2 linked regions of the Oreochromis niloticus genome follow. The protein of the gene in region 1 purifies or fractionates together with the protein of each later gene. This does not show direct contact. Links are inferred from orthologs where the notes say so. Each region holds a gene or a part of one and is shown on either strand. Other genes may lie near its edges. The genes, in order: plekhm1 and vps33a.

Evidence for each region.
Region 2: the proteins of plekhm1 (region 1) and vps33a purify together in Homo sapiens (affinity purification with western blotting; 3 studies listed by BioGRID and IntAct, with this or other methods). This does not show direct contact. The link is inferred for Oreochromis niloticus from reciprocal best matches to the Homo sapiens genes PLEKHM1 and VPS33A.

The regions. Positions count from the first base shown.
Region 1 is NC_031973.2:6,818,897-6,835,903, reverse strand, and holds the start of plekhm1 (pleckstrin homology domain-containing family M member 1), read left to right. Parts: upstream 1-9,713; 5' UTR 9,714-9,925; intron 9,926-9,932; exon of another isoform or gene 9,933-10,607; 5' UTR 10,608-10,643; coding exon 10,644-10,694; intron 10,695-15,388; coding exon 15,389-15,630; intron 15,631-16,588; coding exon 16,589-17,007. Other genes in the region: interferon a3-like, read right to left, coding at 6,975-7,058, 7,158-7,310. UniProt on the Homo sapiens protein: Acts as a multivalent adapter protein that regulates Rab7-dependent and HOPS complex-dependent fusion events in the endolysosomal system and couples autophagic and the endocytic trafficking pathways.
Region 2 is NC_031977.2:12,413,479-12,430,221, forward strand, and holds vps33a (vacuolar protein sorting-associated protein 33A), read right to left. Parts: upstream 7,837-16,743; 5' UTR 7,773-7,836; coding exon 7,671-7,772; intron 7,594-7,670; exon of another isoform or gene 7,509-7,593; intron 7,383-7,508; coding exon 7,317-7,382; intron 6,053-7,316; coding exon 5,925-6,052; intron 5,808-5,924; coding exon 5,621-5,807; intron 5,526-5,620; coding exon 5,409-5,525; intron 5,300-5,408; coding exon 5,125-5,299; intron 4,727-5,124; coding exon 4,533-4,726; intron 4,235-4,532; coding exon 4,108-4,234; intron 3,957-4,107; coding exon 3,889-3,956; intron 3,353-3,888; coding exon 3,215-3,352; intron 3,123-3,214; coding exon 2,985-3,122; intron 2,894-2,984; coding exon 2,725-2,893; intron 2,028-2,724; coding exon 1,834-2,027; 3' UTR 950-1,833; downstream 1-949.

The sequences.
Region 1 (17,007 bases):
AAAAAAAAAAAAATTGCAGGTGCAAGTGTTGCATTTTGAGGAGAAATTTATTTTGAGCGAAGAAAAGCTAAATTTGAGTGAACAAAATTCATTGCTGCGTGCAGAAAATGTATTTCAGTTCAACTCTATCTGTACACTGTACAGAAAGAGTTGAACGCGCACGGGCAGAAATGTTGAGAGCGCAAGCAACACATTGCGAGCAAGCGCAAATGCAAAAACTGAGCGAGAGGAACTGCTATTGTGTGTGTGTATGGATAATAGCAAACAGTGAAATACATTTTTTGCAGGCAGCAATGAATTTTGTTCACTCAAATTTAGCTTTTTTTCGCTCAAAATAAATTTCTCCTCAAAATGCAACACTTGCACCTGCAAAAAATTTTTTTACGTGCTCTCAATGTTTTTTTTTTACGTGCGTTCAGAATAGTGGCACGAAAATAACGCCATACACCAGATGTTGAACTTTTATCCCTGTCACTGCGCCCTCCCTCGTGAGTTTCCACAACTTTTTATTACCATAGTTTACATTCACCCGAGGGCTCACCCCGCCTCCACCTGCGGCATCATCTCAGACGTAGTGCAGAAGCTGCAGGCGCTCTCTCCTGACGCCCCAAACTTTATAATGGGGGACTTCAGCCATGTCTCTCTTAACTCATGAACTTCTTCACAAATAAAATTTTTATCATTAGAGAAAAAATTACCAATAATCATCCCACAGATGTAATATTATCTACAGCTACTTTTAGTACCATCGGTGTTAAGTTAGACTCTTTTTCTCCAATTGATCTTTCTGAGTTAACTTCAATAATTAATTCCTCCAAACCATCAACGTGTCTTTTAGACCCCATTCCTACAAAACTGCTCAAAGAAGTCCTGCCATTAATTAATTCTTCAATCTTAAATATGATCAACCTATCTCTAATAATCGGCTATGTACCACAGGCCTTCAAGGTGGCTGTAGTTAAACCTTTACTTAAAAAGCCATCTCTAGACCCAGCTGTCTTAGCTAATTATAGGCCAATCTCCAACCTTCCTTTCATATCAAAAATCCTTGAAAGAGTAGTTGTCAAACAGCTAACAGATCATCTGCAGAGGAATGGCTTATTTGAAGAGTTTCAGTCAGGTTTCAGAGCTCATCACAGCACAGAAACAGCTTTAGTGAAGGTTACAAATGATCTTCTTATGGCCTCTGACAGTGGACTCATCTCTGTGCTTGTCCTGCTAGACCTCAGTGCTGCGTTTGATACTGTTGACCATAATATCCTATTAGAGCGATTAGAACATGCTGTAGGTATTACAGGTACTGTGCTGCAGTGGTTTGTATCATATCTATCTAATAGACTCCAATTTGTTCAAGTAAATGGAGAGTCCTCTTCACACACTAAGGTCAATTATGGAGTTCCACAGGGTTCAGTGCTAGGACCAATTCTATTTACATTATACATGCTTCCCTTAGGCAGCATCATTAGAAGACATAGCATAAATTTTCACTGCTATGCAGATGACACGCAGCTCTATCTATCCATGAAGCCAGGTAACACACACCAATTAGTGAAACTGCAGGAATGTCTTAAAGACATAAAGAGCTGGATGGCCGCTAACTTTCTGCTTCTTAATTCAGATAAAACTGAGGTTATTGTACTCGGCCCTGAAAATCTTAGAACTATGGTATCTAAGCAGATTCTTACTCTGGATGGCATTACCTCGGCCTCCAGTAACACTGTGAGGAACCTTGGAGTCATTTTTGACCAGGACATGTCCTTCAATGCACATATTAAACAAATATGTAAGACTGCTTTCTTCCATTTGCGCAACATCTCTAAAATTAGAAATATCCTGTCTCAGAGTGATGCTGAAAAACTAGTTCATGCATTTATTACTTCCAGGCTGGACTACTGTAATTCTTTATTATCAGGATGTCCTAAAAACTCACTGAAAAGCCTTCAGCTGATCCAAAATGCTGCAGCAAGGGTACTGACAGGGACTAGAAAGAGAGAGCATATTTCTCCTGTTTTGGCTTCCCTTCATTGGCTTCCTGTTAAATCCAGAATTGAATTCAAAATCCTGCTCCTCACATACAAAGTCTTAAATAATCAGGCCCCATCTTATCTTAATGACCTTGTAGTACCATATCACCCCATTAGAGCACTTCGCTCTCGCTCTGCAGGCTTACTTGTTGTTCCTAGAGTATTTAAAAGTAGAATGGGAGGCAGAGCCTTCAGTTTTCAGGCCCCTCTTCTGTGGAACCAGCTTCCAGTTTGGATTCGGGAGACAGACACTATCTCTACTTTCAAGATTAGGCTTAAAACTTTCCTTTTTGCTAAAGCATATAGTTAGGGCTGGACCAGGTGACCCTGAATCCTCCCTTAGTTATGCTGCAATAGACGTAGGCTGCCGGGGATTCCCATGATGCACTGAGTTTTTCCCTTCCACTCACCTTTCTCACTCACTATGTGTTAATAGACCTCTCTGCATCGAATCATATCTGTTATTAATCTCTGTCTCTCTTCCACAGCATGTCTTTATCCTGTTTTCCTTCTTCACCCCAACCGGTCGCAGCAGATGGCCGCCCCTCCCTGAGCCTGGTTCTGCCGGAGGTTTCTTCCTGTTAAAAGGGAGTTTTTCCTTCCCACTGTCGCCAAAGTGCTTGCTCATAGGGGGTCATATGATTGTTGGGCTTTTCTCTGTATTTATTATTGTGCTATCTACTGTACAATATAAAGCGCCTTGAGGCGACTTTTGTTGTGATTTGGCGCTATATAAATAAAATTGAATTGAATTGAATTGAATTGAAATCAACTTTGGGCAATTTGTATCAATATGTATCCTGTCCTACCAGACGGGATAAAATGTTGGACCTTTGGTACGGATCGGTGAAGAATGCTTATAAATCCCTCCCGCTTCCTCCTCTGGGATTTGCTGACCATAACTGTGTGCATCTTCTGCCCATCTATAAAACTGTCTTAAAACGATAGAAGACAAAGACTAAGGATGTTGACGTATGGTCAGAAGAATCTGTGCTTACCTTGCAGGAATGTTTTAAGATTGGGAAGTTTTTATTCAGTATTGTGGAGATGATCTTGACGCTTTGGTGGATGTTACTAGCTCTTATGCAGTATTTTGTAAAGACATGATTATACCCCGTAAGCGCGTGTGTACGCTAACAATAAGCCACGGGTCACCAAAAGCGTCAAATCCTGTTTAAGGAAAAAGAGGGGGCTGTTACTGATTTTCAGACAGCCACCAAGGACCTGAAAATCGAGATCTTGAAAGCAAAACAGAGCTACAAAAACCTTCTTGAAAGCAAATTTGCTGCAATAAAATTTTGGGTCTGCCTGGACTTGTATGAAAACCATAGCAGGGTTTCAAAATCCTCAGAGCAGTAGTCAGATCATTTTAGATGGTTTTAATTCAGACAGAGATTTTGCAAATGCTTTAAATATGTTTTATGCTTGTTTTAGTTCTTCTGATTTTAGCAAGGATATTTTGGAACTGAAACAGAAACTGAGAGATACTCAGCACTTTATCATTGAACTCAGCTATGTCAAAAAGGCCTTTCATACAGTTAATGTGAACAATAGCCAGGGTCCTGATAATATTAGTGGCCGCCTAATTAAATCTTGTGCTGAAGAACTCAGTCCTATATTTCAGGTTATTTTTAATAAATCCTTGCAAACACAACATGTGCCCTCTCTTTGGAAAGAAGCAGTTGTAGTTCCTGTCCCTAAATCTAGTCGTTCAAAAATTCTAAACGACTTCAGGCCTGTTGCCCTCACTTCAGTTGTAATGAAAGTCTTTGAAAAAATCATCAGAAATGTGATTATGAAAGAGATTGAACATCAGCTGGATCCAATGCAGCAATAGAGGAGTGGAGGACACACTTTTGACTTTACTAAATCTGATTCTTAAACATGTAGAGAGTAAAGGGACTTTTGCAAGACTTCTTTTCATTGATTTTTCTTCGGCTTTTAATACAATACAGCCCCATATTTTAATTAAAAGACTTTTAGAACAGTTTGAAATCAAGAAAAACCTGGTGGGCTGGATTTTAGATTTTTTAACTGACAGGTCACAAAGAGTGAGAATAAATGGGGTTCTGTCTGACCCAGTGTTCTCCTCCACAGATTCTCCTCAAGGGTGTGTCTTATCGCCCTTATTATTCATTCTCTATACAAACATGTGTCAGAGCAGATATGAAAACAGGGCCATCATTAAATATGCAGATGACTCTGTTATTGGCAGCTTACTGAAAGAGGGTGAAACTAACCACGGTCCAGTCATTGATGACTTTGTTCAGTGGTGTGAGGAGTCTTATCTCCAGCTGAACATATCTAAAACAAAAGATATGGTTATTGATTTTAGGAAACAACAAAATGGGCACAGAGTCACTTTAATTAAAGGTCAGAAAATAGAGCAAGTGCAATCATATAAATATCTTGGGACCATAATCAATGAAAAACTGAACTTTGATCAGAATTGCAAATCAGTTTGTAAAAAGGGTCACCAGCACCTTTATTGCCTTAGGAAACTTGCTCATTTCCATATTGACCAAAAAATGTTAACTTTGTTTTATCGTTCTTTTATTGAGTCTGTTTTATCCTTTTGTTTGGTCGCATGGTTTGGTCAGGGCGGAGGTTTCTATTTCCAAGATGCAGGACAAAGCGTTTTAAAACAGCTTTGTCCCTGTTGCTGTCACTGAATTAAATAAGAACTGTTTTTGTTTTTGATTCGAAACGTTAAATTACTATATATGTGCTACAGTGAGGTTTATATTTTTATTATGTATGTGTGTTTTTGAAGGGATGCCAAATGCTATCATTTTTCTGTAAAGCAAATTTACCTTGCCTATGGGTATAAATAAAGTTACCTTGAACCTTGAACCAAACCATCAGGCAACTCAGGAGAGAAAAGCGATGCTCTACCTGCACTGCAGGTGGAGCACTGCTAACTTCAACTGACAACATTTTTGGGTGGTGGAAGGATTACTTCGAGGACCTCCTTAATCCCACTGGCAGAGTCAGAGATGAAGGGAGCCACTCATCTATCTCTGGGGATGACGTGACTGAGCCAGTTAAACAACTCCTTGGTGGCAGGGCCCCTGGGTGGATGAGGTTCGCCCTAAGTTCCTGAAGGCTCTGGATGTTGTAGGGCTGTTTTGCTTGACATGCCTGGAGATCAGGGGTGGTACCTCTGAGGTGGCAATTAGTCAAACCTTGGACAATGCAGTTTTCACCCTGGTTATGGAACACTGGACCAGCTCTTTATCCTCTCGAGGATACTTGAGGATGCATGGGAGTTTGCCCAACCAGTCTACATTGGCTTGGCGGATCTGGAGAAGGCACTCGACCATGTCCCTCAGAGTGTCCTGTGGAAGGTGCTTCAGGAGTATGGGCTGTTTGGCTCATTGCTATGGGCCATTCGATTCTCATACAACCATTTCAGGAGCTTGGTCCACATAGCCGGCAATAAGTTGGACTGGTTTTCGGTGGGTGATGGATTCCACCAGGGCTGCCCTTGTCACGGATTCTGTTCATAGTTTTTATTTAGAGAATTTCTAGGTGTAGCCAAGTGGCGGAAGGTTTTTACTTAGGTATTCTCTGAATCTCAGCTCTGCATTTCGTATATGATGTGGTTCTATTGGCTTCATCGGCTGATGACTTCCAGCTCACACTGGAATGGTGCACAGCCAAATGTGAAGAGGTGGGAATGAGAATCAGCACCTCCAAATCTAAGGCCATGGTGCTCAGCCAGAAAAGGGTGGAGTGTCCACTCGGGATCAGGGATGAGTGAAATAAGATAATAATTATTCAATGTAACATATAAAATAATATGAAATAGTTTATTTTAATGAAAATTTACAAAACAAATAAATAAATGAATAATACACAAATATTAAAAATAAATAATAGTGTAAATATCATAAATACAATAAATAAATTAAACCAACTAAGATATAATTTAACAATAAATTAACAAATACTTTTTAAAAAAATGTATCCGACAGACAACTTTCAGTGGGCAGTTCTCAGAGATATAAGAAATTCACATTGTCTCAGATGGGCTTGTGTTATGTTCCTGATCTTCTCCCAGGCTTCAGCACTGTAACCCTACAGACAAAACAATATTATTATTATTAAAATACCAGAGGTGAAATATCTGTCATATCTAAATACAGGCTCAGTAAAAATAATGCAGGCTTACATTTTTCTTTAGGATTTTATTTAAGAGTCTCTTGAAATACTTTTCTCTCCTAAAAGACAGCTGTTGCCCCTTCTGTGTGGTATTGCTGTGGCTTCCAATCTAAGTAAATCAAGAGAAATAAAACAAAATATATTTAAATAAATCATTCACCACTTTAACTTATTCGCAGTTGTCAGGTCTTTTACATAATAGAGACTGAATTCATTGTAAAATTACAAAAACGAATGAAAGTGAACTTACACAGGAGTGAAGCTCTTCAGTCTGTTTGTCGACTATATTGAGAAAGTTCTCCACTGTGTTCTCCTCCCATGATGCAGAGCTGTGATCCTCCTCAAACAGGGCAAGCAGCTCCTTCAGAATCTGAACTGTGAAAGCCAGTTTATCCTCAGCCTGGAAAAAGAAGAAGAAGAAGAAAAAGAAGAGATTACTATAGGAATACTTTTGTGACACTTGAAGATGGATGGCTTAGAAAGTCAAAGAACATGAATCCACACAGCAATGAAAATTTTCCCAGATATATCTTAGTTTGCACAGGAATAAATGGTTGAAAATGAGTTCTTTGTATTTTTGTCCTTGAATTATACACAGGAGTTATGACAGAGTCATGATAATAGACAACTCCCTTGGCTCTGTGGGAGAGAATCCCTACGACCCTTTTAATAGCTATAGTCTATATATAGGTAAAGACAAACTTTTGTAGATTTGCCATCACGACACTTTCAGTTCTTCCAACAAAAAAAGAAACAACTTTATGTAAAAAGTTAGGGATGACTTACTGTTGCTTTGGACGTCTGGCGATACAGTCGATTAGGGAAAGCTACGTTGTGCTCAATTTCAGCATCCTTAGTGGTGTTAGTAATCTGCATCACACACAAAACGCACACACATCACATGCATGGAACTAATCAAACTATTTAAATCAATACCACATTAAACATTATGCAAAGAAGTGCACTCACCATCATATCAAGGAAATCTAAAGCTATTTTGTTGTACAGACTGAATTGACTCTTTGTGTTTCCTGGATGTTTTACAATCCATTTGCAACTTAGCGAGGAGCCCGTACTGTACATCCCGAGAAACAGGCAAGCGATGAAAATCCTGCTGATCATTTTTGAAAAATGTAGAAATTTCCTTAGTGTGAAGCAAATTCTCAGGTCTCCTGGTGTTCTGATGGAGCAAACCTCCAGCGCTTCATTTATAGCAGAGCCCAAGGACACACCTATTTCATTTTCTAATCAGCTGGAAAGTCCTCACAGGCTGGCACACGTCTCAAAAGTAAAAACATAGCAGATTTATGTCATCGTTTTCAGTTTTAATATGTGTTCTTTGGGATAATTGTGTATAAAAATTGTCTATGATATAAAAAAAACTGAGGCAGCAGCACCATGAGATGACGTCAAGTTACCACATAAAGCATAAAAACAAAAATCTCCTCCTCTAACTATGTCCATCTCTTAATGCTTGAGATTAATATGAAACCTTTAGGCGATTTTAAAGTAAACGTAGAACAATAGTCGTTTAATTAGTTTAATTAGTTCAGTTAGTTTAAATGTAATTTAATTACTGTCAAGTAAAAGTTTATTTATCCGAAATCTGTTTTTACTTCTTGATTTTAATCTGGGAAAATTGAAGATAGGAGATTTACAGCAATGTTTTTCAGGGAGTCTTTACCTTCTCGGCAGTTTGCAAGACATTAAGGTAGCTAATTTAAAAAAAAAGAAAAGGAAAAAAAAGATCAAACAGTCAGTTAAAATCTTTAAATTGGTAGACACAAATGCATTGACGGTTTGGACACACACACATCAGTGCTGTGTCTGTAGACACGAAGGAAAATGAAAGTAGATGTGCACGAAACTTCCTTACGCACGTTTGCTTTTATTTTCAAATACGACTGATTACAGAGGATAAGAAAGGAGTATAGAGTGATTGAAGTTTATGTTTTTTTTGAGTTTCTGAAACCAATAAAAAGCCAAATATACTGGCAATATATTGTTTCGGTGGTGAGGCTATGTGATGGAGTAGTTTATAAGTTGCAGAGTGTGATATGAAAAGTCTTTAGCAGGGCAGGAGCTGAGAACGGAGAACAGAAAGTCCTCTGGCGTCGACAACAATAAAACCACTATGTCGTCTTTAAGTGTTACTCGTAAACTACAGCTTCCACTTTGGGTTTGTTTTGTTTTTTTGTTTTTTTGTTTGTTTTACCGCTTCTGTTTACCTTTAGTTAAGGTTAGTAGTTAACCTACTGCATGTTGATTTTGTTTTTTTTTTAATGTGTTGTCTTAAATAAAAAATAACCCGGAAACCATGAGACACAATAAAAAAATATGTCGACAGTGAAAATGAAATCTCGCCAGAGGAATGGAAATCAACTTGAGTTGGAGCTCATGTTTAGATGGTGAAATGCAAACATGCTCTATTTAACTCCTGCCACATTAAAATCCTTATAAAAAATAAGCTAAAAGCATGTACAACAGATAAAACAATTTTATTCTATTTATATTTTCTATTTAATTGAGCTTTTTTCTTTCTTTTATTTTTGTTATTTTCATGTTATTAAGCTACTTGGGTTTAACTCTGTTCAAATACCATGATAGAATGGTTTATCTTCTGGGTGATAAACCATTTTATCATCCAGAAGGGCAAAATAGCCATTTATGTTTTTTGGGTTTTTTTTTTTAAATGTAAAAGTCATAAAGCTAATAGCTATAATTTGTCACTTCTAAGTCAGTTTAAATAACATAGGAGGAGAAACGGGTCATTTTTACAATTCATGAAGAATAATTTTAATGTCAGGGCAGGGTAGGCATGCAGTGACACAAATAATGTCAATAAATTATTATTTATTTATTTTTTGTCATATAGACTGAGGAATAAGTTCAGGCAAGAGTTTCCATTGGCTGCGATGCTCGCAGATGACATTGCAATCTGTAGTGAGAGTAGGGAGCAGGTGGAAGAGGACCTAGAGGTACGAGCCATAAGGGAAGGTTTAAAAGACAGGAAAGAGACCTGCTATGATTTATGGTTTGGAGGTGGTGACTTCGACAAAAAGAGAGAAGACTGAGCTGGAGATGTTAAGGTTTTCTGTGCAAATAATCAGACTGGAAATGCACATGTCAGAGACAAAGCTCAGGTCAAGCACATTAGAGATAAAGTTAGAGAGATAAGGTTGAGATGGTTTGGACATGTGCAGACAAGAGATACTGCATATGCTGGGCAGAAGATGTTGAAGATGGAGCTGCCAGGCAGGAGGAAAAGAGGAAGACCACGGAGGTCGTTCTTGGATGTAGTGAAGAAGGACATGCAGAGGGTTGGTGTGACAGAAGAGGATGCTTAAGATAGGGTGAAATAGATGATCCACTGTGTCCTTGAAGAGGATGAAGAGGAGAATGAGAAGAAGATCAAGAAAATCATAAAGAAGCTCACGAAGAAGAAAAAGCTCGACAAGAAGAGAATCCATGAGAATAAGCCCAGTTTCACAGCATTTGTGATGGAGCATGAACGCATCACTAGTCTGAGTTCCCATGATGCATTTCTTCTTCAGTTGGATGGTGACAGTCGAGCGTCTAAAGTCGAGCTAACTTCTGCTCTATTTTTAGGTGTTTTGGAAGCGATGGAGAGCGACTGCACGGATTTGTGTTCCTCTAACGTGCAGCTCACGTGTTTACGTTAATTTAAGGAGGACACGCGCTTGTTTTTCGACCTGTTAGCCAGGCTGTTTGTTTCGGTAAGCAAAACTTAGCTAGTAAAAGCCGCCGACAGCGTCTGATTTTAATATTATAACATAGCTGATAGACATTTCGTTATTTACACAGCTTTTTTAAATTGATTTTTTATTTTATTTGTTTAATTTACAGTGTTTCGGTCGTGCATTTCTGTCATTAATGCACACACGCCCAGTGCTCGTCACTGCAAAGCGTCTGCAGAGAAAACAAATGCTTCTAAATGTCGCTTTGGGTGTTTAAAACGAAACTATTAACTAGCCACTGTTTGGTAAACAGTACTTTGTTTGCTGATAGCCCAGCACTTGATGTATTTAACGCAATCTTATTTGGATGTGATGATGTCAGGGTGGTTGGATTACATGCTGATTAGTTATCAGAGTGCCTCCTAGTTTTTATTGGGGAAGTAAGAAGCTACTTCCCTGCAGACGTCCTCTTTAATCTGTGCTTCACATGACCCATGGGCTACTCACAGAAAGCATGAAATGGCAGATAATGTCACAGAGCACAGACTCGTGATAGGAAATTCTGAAAACTCGATGTGAAGAGGGAAAATCGTTTCCTTCTCGTCACATGTCTGGCTCGTCGGCGTGGTCATATTCAGGATACAAACTCGCATGACTCGTTAGGTCGTTGTTAGTCAAGCCTGCAAGTGCCAAAAGGGCAGGTCTTTTTTGTGTGTTTCAGTGTGCCATGTTGGAGTAACTCATTCCAGGAGGTGCCATGCTCGCCACGCAGACTGAAGCTCCACACGAGGCTAAAGATGTTAAAAAGGTAAGAGTCAGCTCTTTTCACGTTGCGGATTTCACTTCTGTCTGGCTTCTTTCTCTGCTGGTGAGATAGCGTGAGAGTTGGCTTGTGATATTTAAGTAGTTTGTGTTGTAATGCAAAGTACGCTGGGCATTACACCACAGACAGAACTGCTCTCTGTGTTGATCAGTGACTTTATTTACAGTTTTGTTGCAGACTAAAATACAGTATGCAGCAGGAAAGTACAAAGCTGGAGATTGGACTGGCGAGTTATGGAAAATTATTCATAAATCTTGTCTTGCATTTCAGTTTTCCCCAGAAAGCCTTAAACAAATGGGGGGGAAAAAACCCACTGATGTTTAGGTCGTGGGGGACATGGGGTCCTCCAAAAGAAAAAACAAAAACAGCACAGCCTGTTTTGAAAGGCCACTAATAGGGGATGCAGCAGAGGAAATGCATCATAATCCCGGTGCTAAGCTTATCAACAGAGGATTTTAATTATGTTTAATAGTGAAGCTGGTCTTGCATAGGTGTAGTCTCACCCAGGAGTACAGGAGGTCTTCAGGTACAGACAGGAAGGAAAAAAGAGGCCCAGATGGACCCCTCTGCTCTTGTTGTGCATGCTTCAGGGGACCTGCATTGAAGGGCTGAATGATGGTTAACCTAAGAAACTTTTAACAAGTTCTATTCCTTTAGATCAGTGGTGGACATGTTTTGTCTCAGAGGGTCTTACTTACTTAGATAAATTAACCCAAGAGCCAAGTATTGAACAATTAATGTGAAATATTTTCACATATTTCAGAATTATTTCAAGTTTTTTTAATAGACCTAACTGATGCATCAGGCCCGGGTGATCGTGTCAGGAATCAGGAACTTGCTGTTAGCACTTTTTGTGCTTTTGTGTCTGTGGTGAACTGTAATATAAAACCACTGCAGTACAAAGCTGAATTACTTAACAAGGAATAGATCTGGCTAATATTTGCTGTTTACTTAATATTTTTACTCACACATTGGCTTTCTTATACTTAATACATGCAGCATTAGTTTATTTTCAGTGTGACTATAGATTATAACTCTGAGATTTAAATGAATCACCCCGTGTTTCTTGAAACTAAATAATGACAACGTGTGAGACCGTCACCTCTCACCATCAAAGCTGTGTTATGTTAAACATGTTGTTATTGCTCCAACTGTGTCTGTTTGGCTTTTTTTAACCACTAACCACAATTAAACTCCTCAACATCATTCATATTGCAAAGATTTGTTGTGCACTGTATATGATTGTATAACCTAAACTGTGTTATTAACTGCCAAGGGCTGCCACTGGTCTGTGGGCTACTCTTTGAGAGCCCTGTCTAACTCTAGCCTGAATCGTAGACTTCAGAATCAGAGTACTTTCATAATCCCTAAGGAAATTATGTGGGTTAAAGTTGCTCCAAGACAGTAACAGACTAAACTACATAAATAATGCAATATGTTACAAAGGTTACAAATTTAAGAAATAGCACTAATATATATACAAATCGCTCAATTATAAATATCAAGAGTATTGCAGAGGTGAGAATATTACAATGGTTGAATATATATGATTGACATTTAACTTTAACCTGTGAACTTTGTCATTTGCTATTTAGTGTAGAGCAGAGGTAGGCAACCTTTCTGATGAGTGCCATCTAAAATTTCCTCAGAAGTCAGTGTGCCATATGATTGCATTAGCAATAAATTTAATAACGCTCTATATTAACAGTTACACACTATATAGAACAACTTTACAATTACATTTGTTCGCAGATGTTTGCAGCTATCAGCGAATAGTTATCAGCTATTTTGAAACAAAAAAAAGACACTTTTTATTCATAACAAGAACTCCATAACAGCAAATGAACTGTACAACAGAAAATGCAAATGCTATTTATGGTCTCCTCACAACAATGATAAGAAAAAGAAACTGAGCCAATATGGCATGTTTGTTAATACAGGGATACACATGTTAATGTGATCTCTGGTCTCCCACTCAGAGACACAGGTCTCCGAGTGTCCAGCATTCAGACGGCTACCTGAAGACACTCTTTGTGTGAGAGAAAATCTGCTCACACAGATATGTAGAGCCAAATACTGTCAATAATGCCTCTGCAATGTTCTGAATACAGTTAAACTTGTCAGGTAGTGATGTCCAGCAGGTGAAAATGCAAGCTCCATGAACACGCACAGCTATGGATTCCAGCTGCCCCCCTTTCCCTGTTAATGCCCTACCTGGCCCCCTGGCAAAACTTTGCTAGACCCGCCCCTGCACAGTTACCAGCTGTCAGCTACATAGAAAAGGATCCTGGTGTTATTTGTCTCTCAGAAACAGTTCATAACTTCCCTTCAACTCATCCATGTCACCTAAAAGGTAAACCTGTTTCTCCATCACCTGTTCAGCTCTGATGATTCAGTAAGGACATCTCCTGGTTTCATCTTCATGTTTCCCTCTCACCACATATCCAAACCGATATCATGACCAGCAGTTTTTACAGCTGTGGCTCCAGCAAACATCAGCTGATACTAGAAATTATTATTATTAAATAAATTCTAACAACAGCTGATCAAGCTTAAATGTGCTGCTGTTGTTTAGCGCGACATCCGCTGGTTTCCTCTTTCTGGCGCAAAGTGGGCGATAAACAAACAAGAGAGAAAAGCCAATCAGCTGATCATTGATCAGTTTCATGATTGAAGTAGCAAAAGGAGAGGGAGGGGGAGAGAATGAGAGAAGAAGAAACAGCTGTGCAGCGTAAAGATGCAGAAAAACTCCAGCTTTGTGTCTTTTGTGACGATTCCGTTTTTACAGGACGGTTGGCAACTCTACTAACTAACCTTATGAATAAAATAAAGTTCACTATCAGTAACATCATAGCACCCACCCAGCTGTATAGAAACTCTGTCATGCTAGCGAGTACGCAATACGAGTTATTGTAACTGACTGTAAAAAGTCAGCACAACGAAAATAAACTCCACCTAAACTTGGTTTATATCTGACCCAGATAGACTGCAGGTCATAACTTCTTAGCTGAAGTTCAGTTCACCTGACGCTCCGACCGGCGGCCGCCTCGGGTCTCTCCTCCTCCTCCTGCCTCCCCTTTCCCTCATCCACCTGTTGCCTCTGTGGAAGCTCCACCATAGTCACCATCAAACAACTGAGTTGGTTTTACACATCGATACAGCATCTGGCCAATACACCACCTTTAATACCGTTACAAAAAAAAATAAAAAATCATAGGCCCATAAAAATGAGTATGCCTGATGGCCAGTCCAGCTATGGTCGTGCCATCAGTTAACACTTCGCGTGCCAGCTGTGGCATGTGTGCTCAGGGTTGCTGAACCCTGGTGTAGAGAGTGTGCAAAAGGGTGTAACTATTGCAGCATTTACAGTGTAGTAGATGGAGGAGTTGTACAGGGAGATGGCCACAGGCAGGAATGATTTCCTGTGTGGTGCAGAAGTGCTTTTTGGTAATTTCAGTCTCTCATTGAACGTGCTCCGGTGAATAGCCAGCATGTAATGGAGTGGTATTATTCAGCATTGTCCTTATCTTGGACACCAGCTGCCTCTTAGACACCACTCTAAGGGAGTCCAGCTCCATCAGCACAACATTACTGGCCTTGCGGATCAGTTTATTGAGTCTGTTGGGATCTGTGACCCTCAACTTGCTGCCCCAGCATGCAACAGCATAGAGGATAGCACTGGCCACAACAGACTCACAGAAAATCCTGAGCATTGTCCGACAGATGTTGAAAGACCTCAGCCACCTCAGAAAGTAGAGACGACTCTGGCCCTTACTGTAGAGTGCAGTGGTGTTCTTAACCCAGTTCAGTTTATTGTCTATATGTACTTTTTTTAAATTGGTTTATAAAATTGCTAAAAATAACAGGGAGAAACTTCTGTTAGCTTAGATAACAAATATTATTTTCCGTAACCATGGATCAGCCGTGTGTAGTCATCCTCCAGACGCCTGCTTTCATCCAGGAAAACCCCAGGGTTATGGCTTTTTTTTTTTTTTTTTTTTTTTTCAAATGTTTTTTTCAAATGTTTCAAAGAAAGAAAGAAAAAATTTATGTTTAGTTAACAAGGCTTTGAGACCTCAGATCATTAGGTAAGGTGAAACAAAGTCATATCTTTGAGTATAGTTAGTATAGTTGGACAAACTGTGCTTGTTTGGCCCATTTTGGATCTTGGAAAAACCCTGTAATTCTAGTTTTGCAGAAAATAACCCCGCTGCATAAATGCACTGTATATGTGCAGGTGCTTGGAACGGGACCTGTAGATGTTTTTCTTCTACAGGTCAAGCACAGCAAAGGAAGAGTTCTTCAGTGCTCAAGAGCACTAAGGTTCTTGTGTGTTGTGGAAGAAGCTGCCTTTGTCCTCTAACCTTTTACATAATGTAGGTCTGTTTGTAATGTGTTTGTTATTTTTTTTCCCCATCAGCTGACAGTGGGTGACATGTGACAGGAGGTTATATACAGGTTGAGTGTCATAACATCACAGCTGATCTCAAACTGCTTGTTTGTCATCACACTGTGGAATGAAATGCAGGAAAAAAGTGCCAGTTAATGCTTGAAGATGTTTTCTATGTATGTGGTTGAACAGGAATTTTTTTCTTGTTTGACAGCCTGCTTCCCATCAGAACCAGATGAGGAAGGTGTTTTATTAAAATCTTTTTCCTCTTCCATGTATTGTTTCTTAGATCAAAGAGAAGTTGGCGCAGTCGCTCAAGGCCCTGCAGAAACGATATGTTGCGTCAGACTCGGTAGTCACCAGTGATGATTCCGATGCTAACCTCCTCTGCTGTGCCCTGGAGGCCATCTTCATCCACGGTATCAAGAGCAAGTACATCCGCTCAGAGTCTCGAAGCAGCAGTAGGAAAGGGGACCGTGGACCCCTCCCTCAGCCTTTTTTCTGGAGCCTCCTCAAGAGTGTCACCCACCGGTAAGTCAGAACCAAGGCACAATTATTCCTAAACTTTGGGGGTTTGGGACTTTTTCCCTTTGGAAAAAATACATTTGGAGATTTTATCTTAGATTTCAGGTTCATTTTATTGTAGTGTCTTTACCTTATGCAAAGCGCCTTGAGGCAACTTGAATAATCAAGTATTCTAACAATTATTCCACTGATTGATCGAGTAATCTGATGACAACTACTTTTCTGGGCCTGTCCTTGCTATCACAGGGTGAGAGCCAGGGTCCACCCTGCACAGGTTGCCAATAAAATAAGGTATAGATTAATATCCTTCTTGGAAAACTATCTTCCAGGAGGCAAAAAGAATTCTGACAGTATTGTGTCTCATGGATGAGGGGGTTTTGGTGTGTGTTCATGTGTATGTGTGTCTCTTTAAAGCAGCATGTGGTGGCTGCAAGGAAGAAAAGTGAACATACAATGTTCAATCTTCTCAATAACAATGTTATTGAGAAATTCAAATCAGTGATTCCCAAAGTGTGGCCCTCAGCTTCCTTTTGGGTATTGAAGGTATGCAGGTTGTCTGTGTGGTCTGTGAAAAATTTACAATTGTTAAGCTTGAAGTTAAAATCTTCTGAGTTCCCTGAGTAATGTTTTCAAGTTTTAATATTTCCATTTACAAAACAAGTACAAGACAAAAGATTTTAAAAATTGGCTGATCATTATCAGCTGGCAAAAAAGAAGGCTGTTAATAGAGAATTACACAGAATAACAGAGATGATTGATCAAATGAAATGAAGAACAGAAACCTCAGGAGGTCATTAATCCGAGTCTTGTGTTTAAATCAGAGTTTTTAGTAAAGGGTTAGAAGTGTCCCTGAAGATTTTCAGAGTTCATATTGAGAGATGCCGTTCTTAAGTTTAAGTATGCCTGATTTAAGGTATAATTCTGTGAAAATGCAATATGTTTATCACACTCTTTCTTTAACTAGTGATGTGGTCACAGAGCTGGAGAAGATCAGCTTTGTGGGCACTGATGTGGGTCGCTGCCGAGCGTGGCTGCGGCTGGCCCTCAACCACGGCCTCCTGGAGTGCTACCTCGTATCGTTGTTCCGCGAAGACTCCAAGCTGAAGGCCCATTATCAGCCCAGTGCCTTGCTTCTGAACCCGGAGGAGCGAGAGGTTCTGCTCAGCTACCTCCAGGGTCTGGCCTCCCTCACATTCAGCCTGTCTTACAAGTCATCTGTCCTCAATGAGTGGACCACCACGCCTCTGGCTCTTGCCGGACTCTGCCCTTTGTCCCAGGCAGACTTACTGGACCTGCCCCTCAATGGTGGAGACCCTCCCACCTCCAAGCCCATATGCAAGGAAATTTGGGATACAGTGTCTCAGTCATCGGGTTCTTCGGACG
Region 2 (16,743 bases), on another chromosome or scaffold:
AACCACGTTAGTCACAATAAATTTTGCTTATAAAAATGTATACTTTTACTATACCTCCCTGTTAAAATAAAGAAAGTTTAATGTCTGTTATCTTCTTTAAAATTTTTATCTTGCTATCAAAAACAGAAAAACTGTGCATAAAGTGACAAATGTAAACATGCATGAATGCCAGATAATTCCACATGAGGTTAAGGCATAATATCTTTTTTTTAAAAAGGAAACACTTACACTTTTGTGTTGATGGAGCAGGACAGGAGCTGATCAGAAGGGCTCCTGTGCTTCTAGCCCTGAAGTCCAAGTTGATGTGTGCCGTCTTGAGCGTTTCAAGCCCTTATGGGAGAGGAGGAGCCAAAAGGAAAAACTGATCACAAGGATCTGAATCCCCTGGGATTTATTTAATGGCAATAAAAGTGTTGTTGCACCTGCTCCTCAAGGAAGCAGCAGGCCAAAATTTACAGATTTAAGTATTCTCTGAATAATTTACCAAAGTAGTTTCCAAGACTTTTACACAAGCAGCACAAAGGAAAAACTACAAAGATTAGCCAAACAGAGGTCACCAAAATATCTGAGTGCTGTCAGCAGGTCTCCCTATATATATAGTGTCAGGCACGGAGAAGGTATTGACTGATACAGAGATCAAACACCCTCCTGCCGCAGAGTTATCCTCTACCGGAACATGGAGCAAATGGCCTCCTAATTCAATCAGTGTCCTGTGCTGTCAAATCATGGGCTGCCGTGGGCTGAGCTCTCCAGACAGCACAGGGCCATTATCGGATGATCAGGAGGCCTGTTACTGCGCTAATTGCTCCTTCAGAGAACTGGAGCACTGCTGAGGAATACACTCCCATCCCTGCTTTTCATCCGCTTGCAATCAGCTTTCCTTTCCAAAAATTGCCTAATTTACAGTAATCAGAATGGCGTATCACATGACCAAGTAATGTGACACTAATTATAGTTTAAGACTTTATTTAGCCATTTTTAATCCAAGCAAAGGAAAACAAACAAAAGACAACTACTAGTTTTCAAAAATGCAAATCAAATGCATCATTACTCTTCTATGGCATCACAAATATGTTTTAATTCTATATACAGTATATATACAGTAGCAGAAAAGCAATAACTGCAATGACGGAAACACAACCAAATGACAAAGACATCTTCATTAGACATCAATAAACCTTTATATTGCGCAATACGGGTGCAACTCAAAGGCAGGACAGTAAAGATTATGGAATGTATATAACAGACAGATGTAGCCTCCGGCTGCCCTAAACCTGCTTTCTCTCTAATGTCCAGCAGGGGGCGAGTCCTCTGCAAAAAAAAAAAAAAAAAAAATCACCCAATTGTCTCCATTGCTTGTTCAGCCTTTTTTTAAGAGAAGAAAAACATGTTTCATTTTGTAAATTCTAATTAAACTCTTGTTTGGAGCAAAACAGATGATAAAGCAAGCTATGCTTCAGAGCTACCTTTTGATGGACAAATTGCTGTACTATGAGCATTTCTCAGTCAGACCACCCCACGGTAAACACATCAAGAAAAGAAAACGGCCGACACAAACATCAGACTTTGCAAACAGGACTTTGCAAAACAAAGGGTGACATCACTCAGGCGATTAGAAAGTGGACATGCATAAGACTGCAGTGTCATAGCAGGTAACAGTTACTTTGACAAAGAAATTTTCACAGGGCAACTTTTAAAGAGCCGGTCTCTCTTTAAACTGGAAGAGACATCAATGAAACACCTGCAGGACAGTGATGTGGACATAAAAAAAAAGTAGCTGAGCTTTTCTGGTGGATGGGCTCTTTGATGTGGCCAGGTGTACGTGCAGGTGACTCATTGTGTCTGGGATTCAGGGCGGTCCATGAGGGATTTGATCCAAGTTGTGCCATTTACGAGTTTTGTGGTGGCTATAACATACTCCATCCCGCTGTCTTCCACTTGAGAGAGGAAACGGAGAGCAGCTATTTCTGCATACGTCACACCGCCGAGGAAGAACACCAGCGTTGTCCGATTCTCTCCCTGCTGGCCTGTTGGACATTGAGAGATGCAAGTCACTAAAATGCAACATAAAAATTAAATATATTAACAATAGCAAAGGATATTTTATAGTTTTTCCTTAATTCCACTCTGACCTGGTGAATCCTTTAAATACTAGCAAATATAAATGTTAATACAACACAACTCAATGTAAAGCAAATAGCAAGCCACCCTCTGTTGAAGCACCGGTTTTTTTAAAATGTGAAAACCCTAATTTAGTCATACACTCCCCCCTGATTAGAGTCTTCTATTATCACCTTTAAAAACCAATGCAAGGCAGGCATGTAGCAACAAGTCAACTGTCTAATGCCCAAACACAGTTCTAATTAGCACATTTCAAACAGAGTGTATAATTAAATTCATTATTCACATCAGTGTAACACCTACTACTGCCAAAATGAAAAGATGGAATAAAGATGGAGAAAAACAAAAGGACAACACTGGCTGTCACTCACAAATCAAGCACAGAGTGGTTTTTCAGCCTTTCTATCAAGAAAGGCACACAAAAAAACGACAAGCTAACAGTGGCTGTGTGGCACCATTGGCTACATGCCATAAATCTGCCGCTATTCAGCATCTGACATAAACAAATCCTGTGTCTTATCTACACAGAGCAGGAGTGAGGCTGTTTTTGTTCTGTTGTGAGCAGCAGGGCAAAGAGCAGTCCTAGCTTCTCTTAGTCCTTACGTTTCTTATGGAGCCCAGAGGGAAGCTGTTGTCTCTCCTCAAAGTGCGGGCCGGGAAGCATTTTCAGCACCTCTTCGATGCTGCGCCACCCAGGTCGTGCCAAGATCTGAGTCAGTCGGATGCTAAGTGGAGAATAGCCACTGTACACGTATGAGATGTCGTTGGGATTCTGAGAGAACAGAAAAACTCACAAACGTCAGCCCTTGCTTTTTCATGAGTTTAATCCATTAACTGCTTTCCTTTTTTTGTATATTGAGTACCTGCTCATTGGCGTCCTCCATCCACAGTTTAAGGGTTTTTCTAATAGTGGGGTAGTTATTCCGTGAGCCTGTCTGTGGCTTTAAAAGACCAGCCTTCTCTAGGTTGTTCAGCGTCAGTATGTGTTCATAACCATAGGTCTTCACACAGGGGGAGGAAAAAAGTTAAAAACCATCCAGTTTAATTATGACAGGAATCCAAGGGTGCAGAGAAAGCTTCTTTATGTCTTTACCTGGAGAATCTCCCTCTTGTAGTAGTCCATCACCTTGTGTTTGAGGCCATTATTGCAGACTGACTGCATACACACCAGACGCAGGATCTTGATCAGGGGATCCTTCTGGGCAATGCAGTCTTCTATATACGTGTTCACCTGCATAGTCACATTATTTTACGGTGTTTAGTGAACTTTACTAAAAATCCTGTGAAACAGCACCTATAAAAACACACCTTGCTACTACTGGGTTGGACTCCCTTTTGCCTTCAGAACTGCCTTAATTCTTCATGGTTAGATTCAACAAGGTGCTGGAAACCCTGTTGGATCTATACCATGGAGAAACATTCATCAAAGATTTTAGTTTGTATTTAAATGAAAGCATCACAAAGTTGCTGCAGATTTGCTGGGTGTACATCAAGGATGCAAATAGGGTTGTGTAGGGAAACTCCCAGGAGATCAGCAGTTGTGAAATTCTCATACCAGCTCATCTGGCATCAACAACCATGTCATGTTCAAAGCCACTTACATCACCTTTCCTCCCTTTCAGATGCTCAGTTTGTTTAGTATCTAAATGCATGGACCTGCAGCCGTGTGAGAATGGTTGAACAGATTTACCTAATATATACGTGTGTGTTTGATAACTTGTAACAACTTATCTTAGGGAGGAAAATAGGTAACTAGATGAAAAATACCTTGTCTGTGTCAACACCAGTCATAAATTCCTGCTCCACTGTTAGATTATCAAAGAAGGCCTCGGATGCTGAAACATGAGATGATAGATGATTTACTACATAGTAGTGGATATTGATGGAAATAGTTGTCTTTAAAGTCTTAAAAGCCAAAAACTGAGCGAGATGTATGCTAAAAAACATAATGTGATTTGATGGGAAAGCATGGGATTATATACGCACTTGTGATGTCTTTGATCAGCTCGGCTATAGAAGTGTGGTTAGCCAGTGAGCTTCGGGCTGCCTGCATGTGAGGCAGCTGGGAGACAAACTGCTTAATTTCTCCCACCGTTTTGGCATTATGGCGCTCCTGAGAGACAAAAGAAGAGATGAAACAAGCATAATGCAGCATCCAAATAATCTTTAACCACTATCACACAAAACACCTCAGTAATAAAATTCAAGGCTCTGACATGCTACAGTTATAATGCACTGGAGTGCAGTACTCCTTTACTTGTTGTTTGGCCTAGCAGGAATATCTGAAATTGATCTCATGTTGCCCCCCGAAAGTACCCGGATTGGAATGAAGGGAATTTCACACTATGATCACCACATGTAAGCAAAGATGGGAAAAAAAAAAGCAAAAATGTATCCAAAACAAGGCTAACCTCAAAGGCGGCAGATATTATTTTGGCTTTTTTGCTGAGTGCTGCACCAACAGCATTAAAATTTTTGTCCCGGATTTCTGCATACAGCTCCTCTGCTGAGTTGAGCTGTAACTTCTTGGGCTCTGTTGGCAAATCTTTACTCCCTTCACCTTGCTTCTTCTGTGCAAACTTCTCAGGAGGCAGCTTGACATAACCTGGAGTGAAAGCATAGAATTAAAAAAAAGACTAAAAATAAAATAGTGAAAAATCTCTGAAAAACTTTTGGCTCAGGATAGTGACAGTACTAGCATGAAAAGCTACCACACAGAAATGTCTGCAGGCAAGCATCCAAACAAGGATCACTAGACTGCAGACATCATCAAACTGCTGGAGAAACTAACCTCCACCTCAACACTACAATATGAGCAATATGTCAAATATTGGAGAAAAAAAGAAGATTAATTTTAATGTTCAAGTGTAATCCTGCTCTGCTTTTCATTAAAAATAAAGTTCCGAAAGAAACAGCGGGATATGCAGATGTCAGAAACAATAAATATTACTGAGGCTCAACATGCAAACATAAGAGTAAGAACTCTAAATGATTTATTCATACCATTATTGATTCCGTAAATCTCGTCAATGAGACCCTCATAGGTGAGCTGTGTGGCCAGAGGGGTGAGCAGGTCAACGTTACGATCAAGGAGAAGTAGGGTATCGAACACGGGCAGAATCTGATTCTGACTGCCAGCAAACTCCCTCTTCATCCTCAACATCATGTTGGCAACGAGCTGATAACAAGCAGAGGATTTGTTTATCAGAAAAATGTATTTACCTCGCTCCTGCAGAGCCTCTGCTTTCATATAAAACAGAAATTATTGAAGGTTACACCATGCTCACCCGTGCACATTCTCCTTTCCCATATATCTGTGGAATGGTGCCATACAGAGCCTGCAAGGTCATGAGGCCTTTGGCTGTGTGGTACAGGCTTGTTTGGTCATTTTCCAGGTAGCACTCCTGAGTGCGACAAAGGGGAGTAATTTATGTGTATATGAGAGATTCCACCAAAGCAAGTGGATGATACATATTTGTACTGTGCAACCTGAACACACCCTGAAAGCACTTTCATACTCCATGGACAGCAGGTCCCCATCGTAGGGAATCAGGTCCAGGATATACTCATCGATGTTGATGAAAGAGCCCAGCACGCCCTGCTCCTTTAGCCGCTGTTCGCACAGCATGCTCCGCCGAGGCACGAACAAAATATGAAAGTCTCGGGATGAATGGTGTCTATCCTCACTAAAGAGTAGCACAATTCATGTTGCAAAGTGTGGATAGCTATGCAAAGTGAGAGAAAGGACAAGAAAACAAAACCTTGTCTTTATCACAGATTGAGGATGAGACACATACACTCACCTAGTTATATTGTCTGCAATGATGTCCATAAGTTCCAGTCTGGGCCGGACAAAAAAGATGATATTTTTGACATCAGCAGGGGGAAGCCTCCCATGCTTGAGGGTGAACATCTTTTCCACTTCATGTTCCTGAACACACCATAATAAACGACAAGTTAAAACAACACCCTCAGCAACATTAGACACATGACATTAGTGTTAAAAGAAACTAGATAATAAGACATGTGGGCCTTGTCTGTTGTCTGAGTTAATTGAGACATAAATTGTGCACCCACTTCCAAAAAATAATGTGCAAATAAATACAGAATTCCAAGATTTGAAAATCTCATGAACACATATTTCTTTTACACTAGAAAATAACATAAAACATAAAAGATTTAAAATAAGAAAATGGACCAAGAAAAATATTTGATGATTTTTAATTTGGCGACACCAATACGTCAACACTTCTGAGTCTAATTTGTTGCATTTTTGATTTCACGATGTGCCAAATGCTTTCAGCTGTTGAAAAGTCTAGAATGTAGGCAGGACAGTTCAGTAGACTCTTCAACTATGAATGCATGCTGTTGTAATAGATGCTTAATGCGGTTTAGGAGTCTTTTGATGAAATGTGCAAAAAGACTGCTGTCCTATCCAGTCTGGATAGGAGCATATGTAAAACCTGTTTTCAGCATTGCTAGATATGTAGACTACCAATTCCACAGGCATGAATGCAGCTCCATCACAGGTGCAGGTTTTTGAACTCAGTGCTGATAATAAGTCAGATGCTGCCTTTTCTGTTTAGTCCTGAGGACACAACATACATGTTTTGCAAAAATAATTTAAAGTCTTAATTCATCTGACCACAGAATAGTTTTCCACAATTAGCAGACAGTAGCATTTCATGTTCAACCATGGCTTCTTCTTTGCGTGACAGACCTTTAACCTCTAGTTTTGGATAGCATGGTGATCTGTGTTCACAGACAATTATTTCTGGAAGTGTTCATGAACCTATGCAGCGGTTTTCATGACAGAACCATGTGTGTTTTTAATGCAGCGGCACCTGAGTGTTTTTCGTCCCTTGTCCACAGAGATTCCTTCAGATTCTCTGAATCTCTGGCTGATATGTACCAATCATGTTACTGACCTGTTGCCAAATGTTCCTCCAGCTATTTCATTTTAGTACCAATTACTTTTCCAGACTGTTCTTCTTGTACCAACGTTCAGTTGTCTTGTTGCCATCACACTCAAAATGGCCTAATATTTTTTCATTAAACAGTAGAAAGCTCTGACGTTTTCTATTTTTTTAATGTAAATAATATATTGGTTTAGGAGATTTGCAAATCATTGCATTCCCACAAAGCACGGCTTCCTAACATTTTTAGAAATGGGTTTGTAAACAGAAAGCACTTACCTTCAACAGAGAGTACTGAGCTATTAGTCCAAACGGTCCCGTCAGATATTCGTCCCAAACTATGGCCTAAAGAAAGAGTAAGAGCACACAAAGCTTTGAATCGTGAGTAAGCAGAACTGAAGATGTTCTGTCAGGCGATACTTGCTAACTGTTACTTAGCTAGTAGCTCGAATATTTTATAATACGACGCACCTACACAGAAATATGTCTGCGTTATCTGTATTGTTTTACACATTCAAAATAAAACTATGACTATAATGTTAACTGACAGTCGCATGGTAACGCTGAGCCTCAGAGACCACATTAACTACCAGTGTTTGGACTACATTTCACAGGCGTATGCGGGTTTGTCACCTTGCTTCCTGCGCATTTGTCCAAAAACTCTCGAAGCTCTTTTCGTGCTGCTTCTCTCAATATGTTTAAATTCACTCTACCGTACGACAAGTGAGCAGCCATTTTTTCCTTACTAGCAGCACAACAAATCAGGTGACTTCAGCGTAGTCGCATCATGTGACCAAAGAAAGTCAAGCTAGTTCACACCAGTGATTGTAGAAAACGCCACAATTGAGCCTAAACACTGTGAAAATGTGCACTCAAACACTTCCACTTCACTAATGCACCGACAAATTCATGTCGGCACTATCTGTTTGCAGTCTACGGTAATAATAAATAAAAGTTAAATGCAAAAACTAAAATAGCATAACGGGAAATACGGGTTTCACGCATGCGTAGATGTTGCTCGGTAAGAAAAATTACTTAAACAGCTAAGAGAAATACTCATGTCTCATACCGAGTCTCAGCATTGTTTAAATTATACTTTTTAAGCGTAGACATCGACAGAATAACATCAGAAATGTTTCCTGTTCAAGTATGCTTTTAAATACGATGAAGGAAGCGCAGAGGAGGTACTGTTTCAATCCTCCTGTACTCTTCTTTTTGCGAGTAGGTGTGGAAGCTGTGTCCAAATTCACAAGCGGGATTTGGCTTCATTTTTGCACAATGGGAGGAGGTGCTTTCTACAGTCATTGGTGGCAACTCTACACTGTAACTACCACAAAGTGCAGGCCATAACCACTGTGACTACGGTTATTTATGACCGTGACGATTGTTCATTTCATTCACGTTACAAACAAATAACTTATTAGAATAATAAAAAAATAATGAATCCTTTTAGAATAATTCAAAACCTTCAGCTAAAGAAATGCATTCATCCTTTTCCGCAATTATTATTGGATCCATTAGATGGCGCAGTGTCCTCACAGTAGGATTCAATCGCCGGCAAGCTCCTGTAATTGAGTCACTGATGTTGGAATTTGGCTTTTTTTTTTCTTGAAAATTACATAGTTAAAACTATCTTTTAAAAAAGACAAGAAGAAGGAGAAAAAGAAGAAGATGTGACAGGGGAAATAAAAGTTTCTGCTAATGTTATCATACAGAAAACATAAAGATTCTTGTTGGCACATACATATGAAGAATGGTTGTTTAATACAATCAAAAAAAAAAGTGACTCAAATAAAAAACGGCTTAAAAATCAAACTTTAAAGCTATAATCCATGTTTACGCGCCATAAAGACAGACTGCTGAATGATGAGACAAATTTAGACACTGTGTTATGGAGACAATTGGATCAGGTGATGACTGCCTACTTGAGCATCAGTGTTATCACTTCACATCCAGGGGTTTCCTGCCCAGGGTACCAAGGGCTTTCCATCCTCCGCGCAGGATAGAAGACCAGTTCCCACGCACTGGGGTGATCCACTGTGCATTTCAGCAACAGACTACTCTTCCAGGAAAAATAAATAAATAAAGCCACAGGCTTTTGTGACGGGCACCATGCGCAATGACTAACTCCGTGGTCGGATCCGAGCGCTGCACAGAAATTTAGTCCGCATCATTCCCTGACAGCTCCCTGAGAGAGAAGGAGAGGCGAGAGAGGCAGGGCTGGATTCACAGGTAGGCTGTGCGATCTCCTTCGAAGGATTTTCAAACATTACATCCTCACCCGAAACATTTCTGTGAGATTATTGCGTTTGGACAGCCCATTGTAATTTCTCTTTAGCCTGTGCAAGTTGAATGGATGCAGCATTTCATTCAGAAGACACGGGGAATAGAAATCGCTTACTAGGGAGCTCGTTTTATTGCCTGTTTTTATTAATTTGCTGGAACACATATCATGGGTTTTTATTAGCCTGTTATTTACTGAGTCGTTTGAATGAAGGGGAAGATTGTGAGGGAGTGTGCAGTGCACTCAGTATGCATGCTGTTAATTAACCTATAGCTTACAATTATAACAATGAACATTTCAGTGAATCCTTTGTGGGGGGGTTTTGGGGGGGGACATCATTCCGAAGACGTGATCCTGCTGCAGAATTTTATTTATTTATTTTATTTTTTGCTGTCATTCATGCAGAGCTGGTGTTGCACTGATTTACTACTGCCTACTTTGGTGTTATGATTATGGACTAAGTTTATTCATGAATGGCTACACTCTGGGTGTACCTCAGTAGGTTCAGCCCCCATCTCCCTTTATAAAAAAGATTTAATAAAACAAGACTAGAGGCCGGCTCCTCCTGCAAATGAAGTGCTTTGTTGTTGTAGATCTGATGTAAGAGAACAGACCTGGTAAGTCATGTGGGAGACTGTGTGGTTGCAGTCCCTGGGCGTTGCTGCAGGATTTTTTAGGAGCGCACGCTGGAGGCTTGCAGACTATGGAGGAAAAACGTCAAGCTGATCACTGATGTGGGGAGGGCTGCTTCTCAACTCCAGCTGTGCCACAGAGCAGGTGATTCAGTTGACTACTTGTTGTGATGCTATCTTATACTGCACCCTGGGGCTATTATTATTAAACCTGGAATGTCAAAGCAGTGTGTATCTGTGTGTGTGTGTGTGTGTGTGTGTGTGTGTGTGTGTGTGTGTGTGTGTGTGTGTGTGTGTGTGTGTGTGTGTGTGTGTGCGTGTGCTGTAATGGGTTGGACTAGTTCATTCTTATTCTGACATTAATATGGAAAGAGGACAGAGAAAGGAAGCTGGGCTCTGCCTTCCAGTTCCACCATCTCCCAACTCCTCCTACAGACCTGAAGCATGTGGATTAAATGGGGGAGGGGAGAAAAGACTGAATGAATGGTCTGAGCGATATCTGCAGTTGCATCCTTGCACATAAGCAGCCCCAGTAGTGACTGGATGACACCTTTATCCTGATGTCCCTTGTCTTTGTATTTTTCTCCCTGCCTGCTCGCCTATTGTTGTTTTCTAGAGAAGGAATGAAATTAAGAAAAAATATAGGAGGAGATCAGTTGTTTTCACATCTGGTCACATAAAACAAGAGTAAAAGAGCAAGAATGATGGGTAGTTAGAGAAAAGGTGGGGGGGAAAGATGGAGGAACGAAGTGCTTTGCATGCTGTATGCATTATTTAACACACAAGCATACAAGGCAGCCATACCCTTCTTCTTTAACCACGTTTCTTTACAACATTTGTAACAATGACCTGGTCTGCATGGGTCTGAAAATTTGGCACAGGTGTGGTCTACTATGCAGACACACTCCACACACACACACACACGCACACACACACACACACACACACACACACACACACACACACACACACACACACACGGAGTTTAATCACTCTCATTCTCATCTTCTGATCTTGCTGTTACCATGGCCACAGTTGGTAAAGGTGCATGACTCCATGTTTTCTGTGCTCGTCACCATCTATGCATGCAGCTTCGGGCCTAAATCACACAGTTTTTACTGTAAATCTCAGCAGATTTTGTGTTCTGTGTTTAAATTCTGTTAGAGGAGGTACTTTATTCTGCCATTTGCGGCCGAGTTCCAGAGGGGAGTGGCTTCATCTTCTTATTCTCATCAGCGGTGGATAAGCATTGATTCACTTACTTATCCAAATGTGGTGATTCGAGCTGCCTAAATGGTGTGGCATATTGGAGAAAGCAGAAGTAATGAATGTGGCCTTTTAACAAAGTTCCCCCAGCAGAGTGAGGAGTTAAACATCCAAAATAGAATTAACACTAGCTTATCTCGAAACCCCTTTTCCACCTTTCCACTACCCTTCCCAATCCCTGACCCTTATATTGCACTCATTCTAATCCCTGCTTTGCATATGTTGCAGCTTCAGTGATGGTCTTCAGAGTGACGCCTACAGAAAAGACTCCCGACAGAGGTTTTTCTGTCAAAAGTTGCGCAGAAGCTTCCTGTTAGTGTTGCAGCTTCCAGGCCAGAACAGTTTGCCAACACAGATTTGTTAAAAACACCCAGGGGCATTGTACCTGCTAGTTTGCTAGTGGGACAAGAGGGAGAGTCAGATATCCCACAGCTGAACCAGATCTTCACAGGGGAGAGAGTAACAGCAGTAAGACTAAGAGACCTGACGTGTTTTCTTTCATCTTATCAACCATGTAGTTTTGTCTCATAAGACTACAAACAGACATTTAATACGCCTATCTGTTACCTCTGACATAAGATTTGAAGAAACCGAGGGAACATAACCGGCCGGTGCATCAGCAGCCAGTCCCACCTCTTGCTTCTGGGGCATACAAGGATGAATCACCATCACCCAAGCAAATCCGAAACTCACTGCAGGCTCTTGCTAGAGTGCCGGTAATCGAGTGTTCCCTCGTCCTGTAGCTGTTTACTGACTTAGCTTTAAAAGGAGGCTCGGATAATAGCATTCTCTGCTATATTAGGAGACTTGTGATGTAACAGAGTTGGTGATAACTGTGATATTTAAAATATGAAATATTTAAAGAATATTAATAATGCACACAAAAAAGTAGTGCAGCACCAGTAACTATCAGGTTGACACTTAAACATAGTGGGTGGCAGTATTGCACTTTAACTGATGGCAGATGTTATGCCATGTGGAGTTTTGTTGTTGATTAAGCAACTGTTCTTTTTCTCTGTTTTCTTATGGTTAAGGTTTCAGACTTTCTCTTCAGCTCCCTTTGAGTCTAAAAGTTGAATCTGAATTATATGTACATCAATGTGCTGGTCAGATGGCGTTTTCAGCTAAATCTCAGGATTGCTGGGATCTGTCGGATGTCGACTGCAAATTCAGTACGCCTTGTTGTGATTTCTGAATTAAAAAAAAAAAAATCCTCACCAGCCAGATTTAGGTTGACTGGATGGAGCCAACAATTATAGCAGGGTATCAGCATGATAGCTTGTTTGGTCACTGGATGGTTTTTCCTGTTTGTTCTCCAACGATGCGGGACCTGGATCCTTGCCTGCCGAGAGGATGTAGTTGTGTGTATTTAAAACGGTACAACACTCTCACATTTGAGAGGTGAAGAGTCCTCGCAGATGGTTCTGCAGATGGTCCCTGTCAGCGCCATTGTCTGAGTGAAAGCATGGATAATTTGTCAATGCGACAGACCTAAAAGACTAACATCCACACTGTTGCCCTAAACAGAGTTTCTCAATCTGTTCCACCCGATGTGATCTGTTCCTCCCCAAATCCTTGTTTGATAGTGGTCAGAGCATAAAGCGTACACTAATGCCTTAAGGAGAGGGTTTACACAGAGTGAATGGCAACGGGGGTGGGAGCTGTAAATAATTAAGAAATGCTGAGTGATGTGTTCCTCTTGCAGCAGAACATTTCACGGTGCAGTGCTTTATAGTGTTGCCCAGGTCCAACTTTCAGTGTGTTGCTATGCTGCCATCTCACAGTTCTCTATGGAGGATGGATGGAGTTGTGTCATGCTACTGGGAGTGGGTGGCTACCTTTTGGTGGCTCCTACCCTCTCCCCACTCACTCTGTGAGACATTGTGAGAATTAGACATCAAGATCTGTTAAGCTACTTAGTTTATAAATCCAAATGATCATAAATTTAATTTTGCGATTTAGATTTAATTTATTTAAATTTGGCGTCGCTCTTTATTTAATGTCAAGTCATGATATGTTTCCTTTGATAAAATCTGAGAAATCAGATGTTTTAATTGCGTTAAGAACTGCCAAATATACATTACAGATGAATGGGCTGCTTGCTTTGAAGTAAAAAAGTATACACTTACACAATACAATCATGCAATACCGTGCAATCAAAATAATGTGTCAGCTTTGCAATCCATTGAACAGATGTTGGTAAATTTCACGTGATAAGTCAGCTCCTTAAACTGCAGATAAAAATGAGTGGGTTATCAAATTACCGGACTCATCCTGTTGAAATCAGGAGCTTTTGTTTATCCCCACACATTTAATAGTTGTTGAGAACAAATATGGGCTAAAGTGGTTATCCTGGCTTCCAAACTACAACATGCAGAGATGTGATTTTATGATGCGAATGACTGGAGCACATTTGACTCTTCCTTTTTACTTTGTGGTTGCAGGTGTTCCTGTTTCAGTGTTTTTTTCTTTTTTACTGCTAAAGGTGGCAAGTCAATTACCATTCATGACCCTTACTGCGCAGTGTACTCCAATCTTGTGTTTATAGCCTAATCAACAATATAACACAGAACATTTTACAGCCTATAAAAAAAGACCTTCAGTTTCTACCACACACGTCACCGCTGACTGCGAAGGAGCAGCTGGTTGTACTTTTCTGATGACATGTAGCTTACAAGTGAGTCAAAATGCTGTTGAGTAGTTCGTGTTTTGAAGAGAACTTGAGTGAAGGTCTATAGATAGCTCACATATAGGCTTGCTTTTACAGACCATCCATCATTTTCCAGAAGTAGATGGTTTTTAACATTAAATTATTTTCTCCATCATTCGAATCTCGTACTCAAATTTATCGAGTAGTGGTTACTTCTCAGGACGTGATAGTAGCTCACCCATATGCCAGCAATGCTGCTTGCTTGCGCCTTCCGTCTGTCCAGAATGTTTTACTTTGCTGGATTTAATTAGCATTTGGCTCTCAAATAAGTCCGTGTGTGAGGAAGTGAATTAAAAAAGAAGGCATGATGTTCCAGATCACCACAGGACTCGAGCTAAAACTGTAGGCCAACCAAGACTCTCCTGTCTGTGTTCTCTTTCATAATACATAACACAATCTGACTTACTGCCAGACCAGATGGTAGAGGAGGAAAAATCAGGATGAAGTAAAATATGTTTCGTCACTTCTTAAACTCTCCTTTAAGTCCTTCTTTTTTCTTTATGATTTTAATCTTAAAACTTGAAAAAAAAATTGTGGTATTTTGTATTGCACCCTTTTGTTTAGCGATGACGTTCACTTTTCACAATAATCAAGTGTTTCTTTGTTTGCTGGTTTTGCGTGTTGAGTATGTACGACTGTTAAGAGAACCTCCATTATGCATTCAAAAGTTTTTGAACACATGAAATATAAATCAAAGGGAAACCAATTGTGTAAATCTGCATTGATCTCTGATTCTCATTAACCCATTTTACAAATATCTTTTGTGGAGGATGGCGAGGGAATTGTTGCCCTGGAATTCAAGTGTAGTACCTCATAGTGTTACAGTGTCATTATATTTAATACATTTATAAGTAGGACATGTAGCAGGGTGTCAGGCGATTGATAAAGCCGTTGGTTACGCTGCAGACAGTTGTCCTCTATCAAATTCGGAATAAGATAATACGTTTAGCATTTGGCAGTAATTTTGATTATTTAATTTGTCTGCTTCATCAAAATAGATTTGCAAACCATTCATAATGATCAATGTCAATTTAAAAATTGCAGTATTGTTAGAGCACAAAGTGCTTGAATATTATTTGAGTAAATCCTTGCTTTTGTTTACAGATTTCAGTACAGGAAGTAGCTTCGCTCTATCCTTACATCCCACTTACCGTGGCCCATGGTGAATCATTCCAAAGAAGCCCCACTGACTTGTTGTCACTGCCTGCTTTCCTCAGCTCTCCCTTCTGCAAGTACTGAAAACTCAAGCCATTACTGTAACAAGGTGCTTTTTTCCAGTCTGTTTGTTTTCCAGTCATATATTCTGCAGTAATGAGTCATACTCCTACTATTGAAAGATATACAACAACGTTAATCTGTGAAAGTGCTTGACTGGACTCGAAATAGGTTACTCTTGCTGATGATTTTCTTGAACTGTATAAGGAGAATGGATAGCTGTGTTTGCCAGAAGCTGATGCAAAACGTCCAGGCTGTGCTCAGGGAGTTGTGTGTACGTACACCCCTGAAGATGCACAGATGCAGATTTGTATTGACTAGTCTCTCAGGCCCTGAGGAGGAGACACAGGTTTCTAAATCGGTCCTCTCCACCCCCATATGAAATTCTCTCTATAGAGAGATCCCGCTGCGCCCATGACTTATGGTGATCAGTCTTGAGTCGATGCTCTCCCTCTGGTCTTTCCTGCTGTCATCTCACACATGATCTGTTACTAGCTACTCCTGGCGGTATGGTGTGGCCATTTGCACAGTTCCCATTGTAAAGGTTTCATAACATTTTTGCAGAAAAAAAGCAACAAATTAATAAATAACAGAGAATATGTGCTTCTCCTCAGAGAGGAATCAACCACCTGACTGAGTCATTTTTACCAATTAACCTGAGAAGTATAGAGGATGAAGTCTGAGGGTTAAAATTATGTCAGAAACAAGGCCCAGTATGACATTTTGGGCAAGACAGTTCATTATAATTGGTCTTGGATACTATTTTCAAAGTTACAGTACATTTAAAACCTTTTGAGGGAATTTAAACTACAACCAATGAAACCAAGCACTACTTTCCAAAAGCTAAAGCATAACATCCTATAGTGACAGCTCTTTATGTGTATGTGATCCTTCAGACTGTCTCCTGAATATTAATTGGTTTATCACTTCAGCAAAGAACCCACTACTGTGATGCAGTAATATCTATCCCAAGCAGGGAGCTCGGGCTAGTCTGAGTCAGTCGTTACCTTGCCCAAGTCTGAAAGCATCCTCCCATCTGTCTCTCTCCATCCACCTCTGCAGGATAATAATGTTCGACAAAAGTGCCGTAATTTATTTTGGCAAGTGAAGGAGGGCCGCACTTGAGAGCGTCAGTGTATAAAATACACGGTGTGGTCAGAGTTATGTCTGATCTGTCAGTCTGCTGCTGAAAAAGTGGAAAAAGACCAGGCTCCCTGAGGACTGTGCTGCTAGTGTTGGCTAGATGCAGGCGCTGCATCAGAAGGAAAAGCCCACACCCAGAGTGCCTATTGATAGCACAGCGAATATCTTGAATCCTGCAGGCAGACGTACAACAGATTAGACCTCAAAAGGTATGGAGCCTGACGTTACGCAGCATAATATTTGCAGCTGAATGAGTGGTGCACCCCTCCCTTTTGTTATGTCTTTTACTCTCTCCAAGGTTCTACAATGCTGGATTTTCCTGCTGTGAAATGCTGAAGACAAGTGGCACAGTGACTTCTCATTTTTCCTTTTTTGTCATTAACATCGTGCATTTTTGGCTAAATCCCGCCCCCACATATTAAACCTCATTACCCAAAGAGTGGGTATGATGCATAA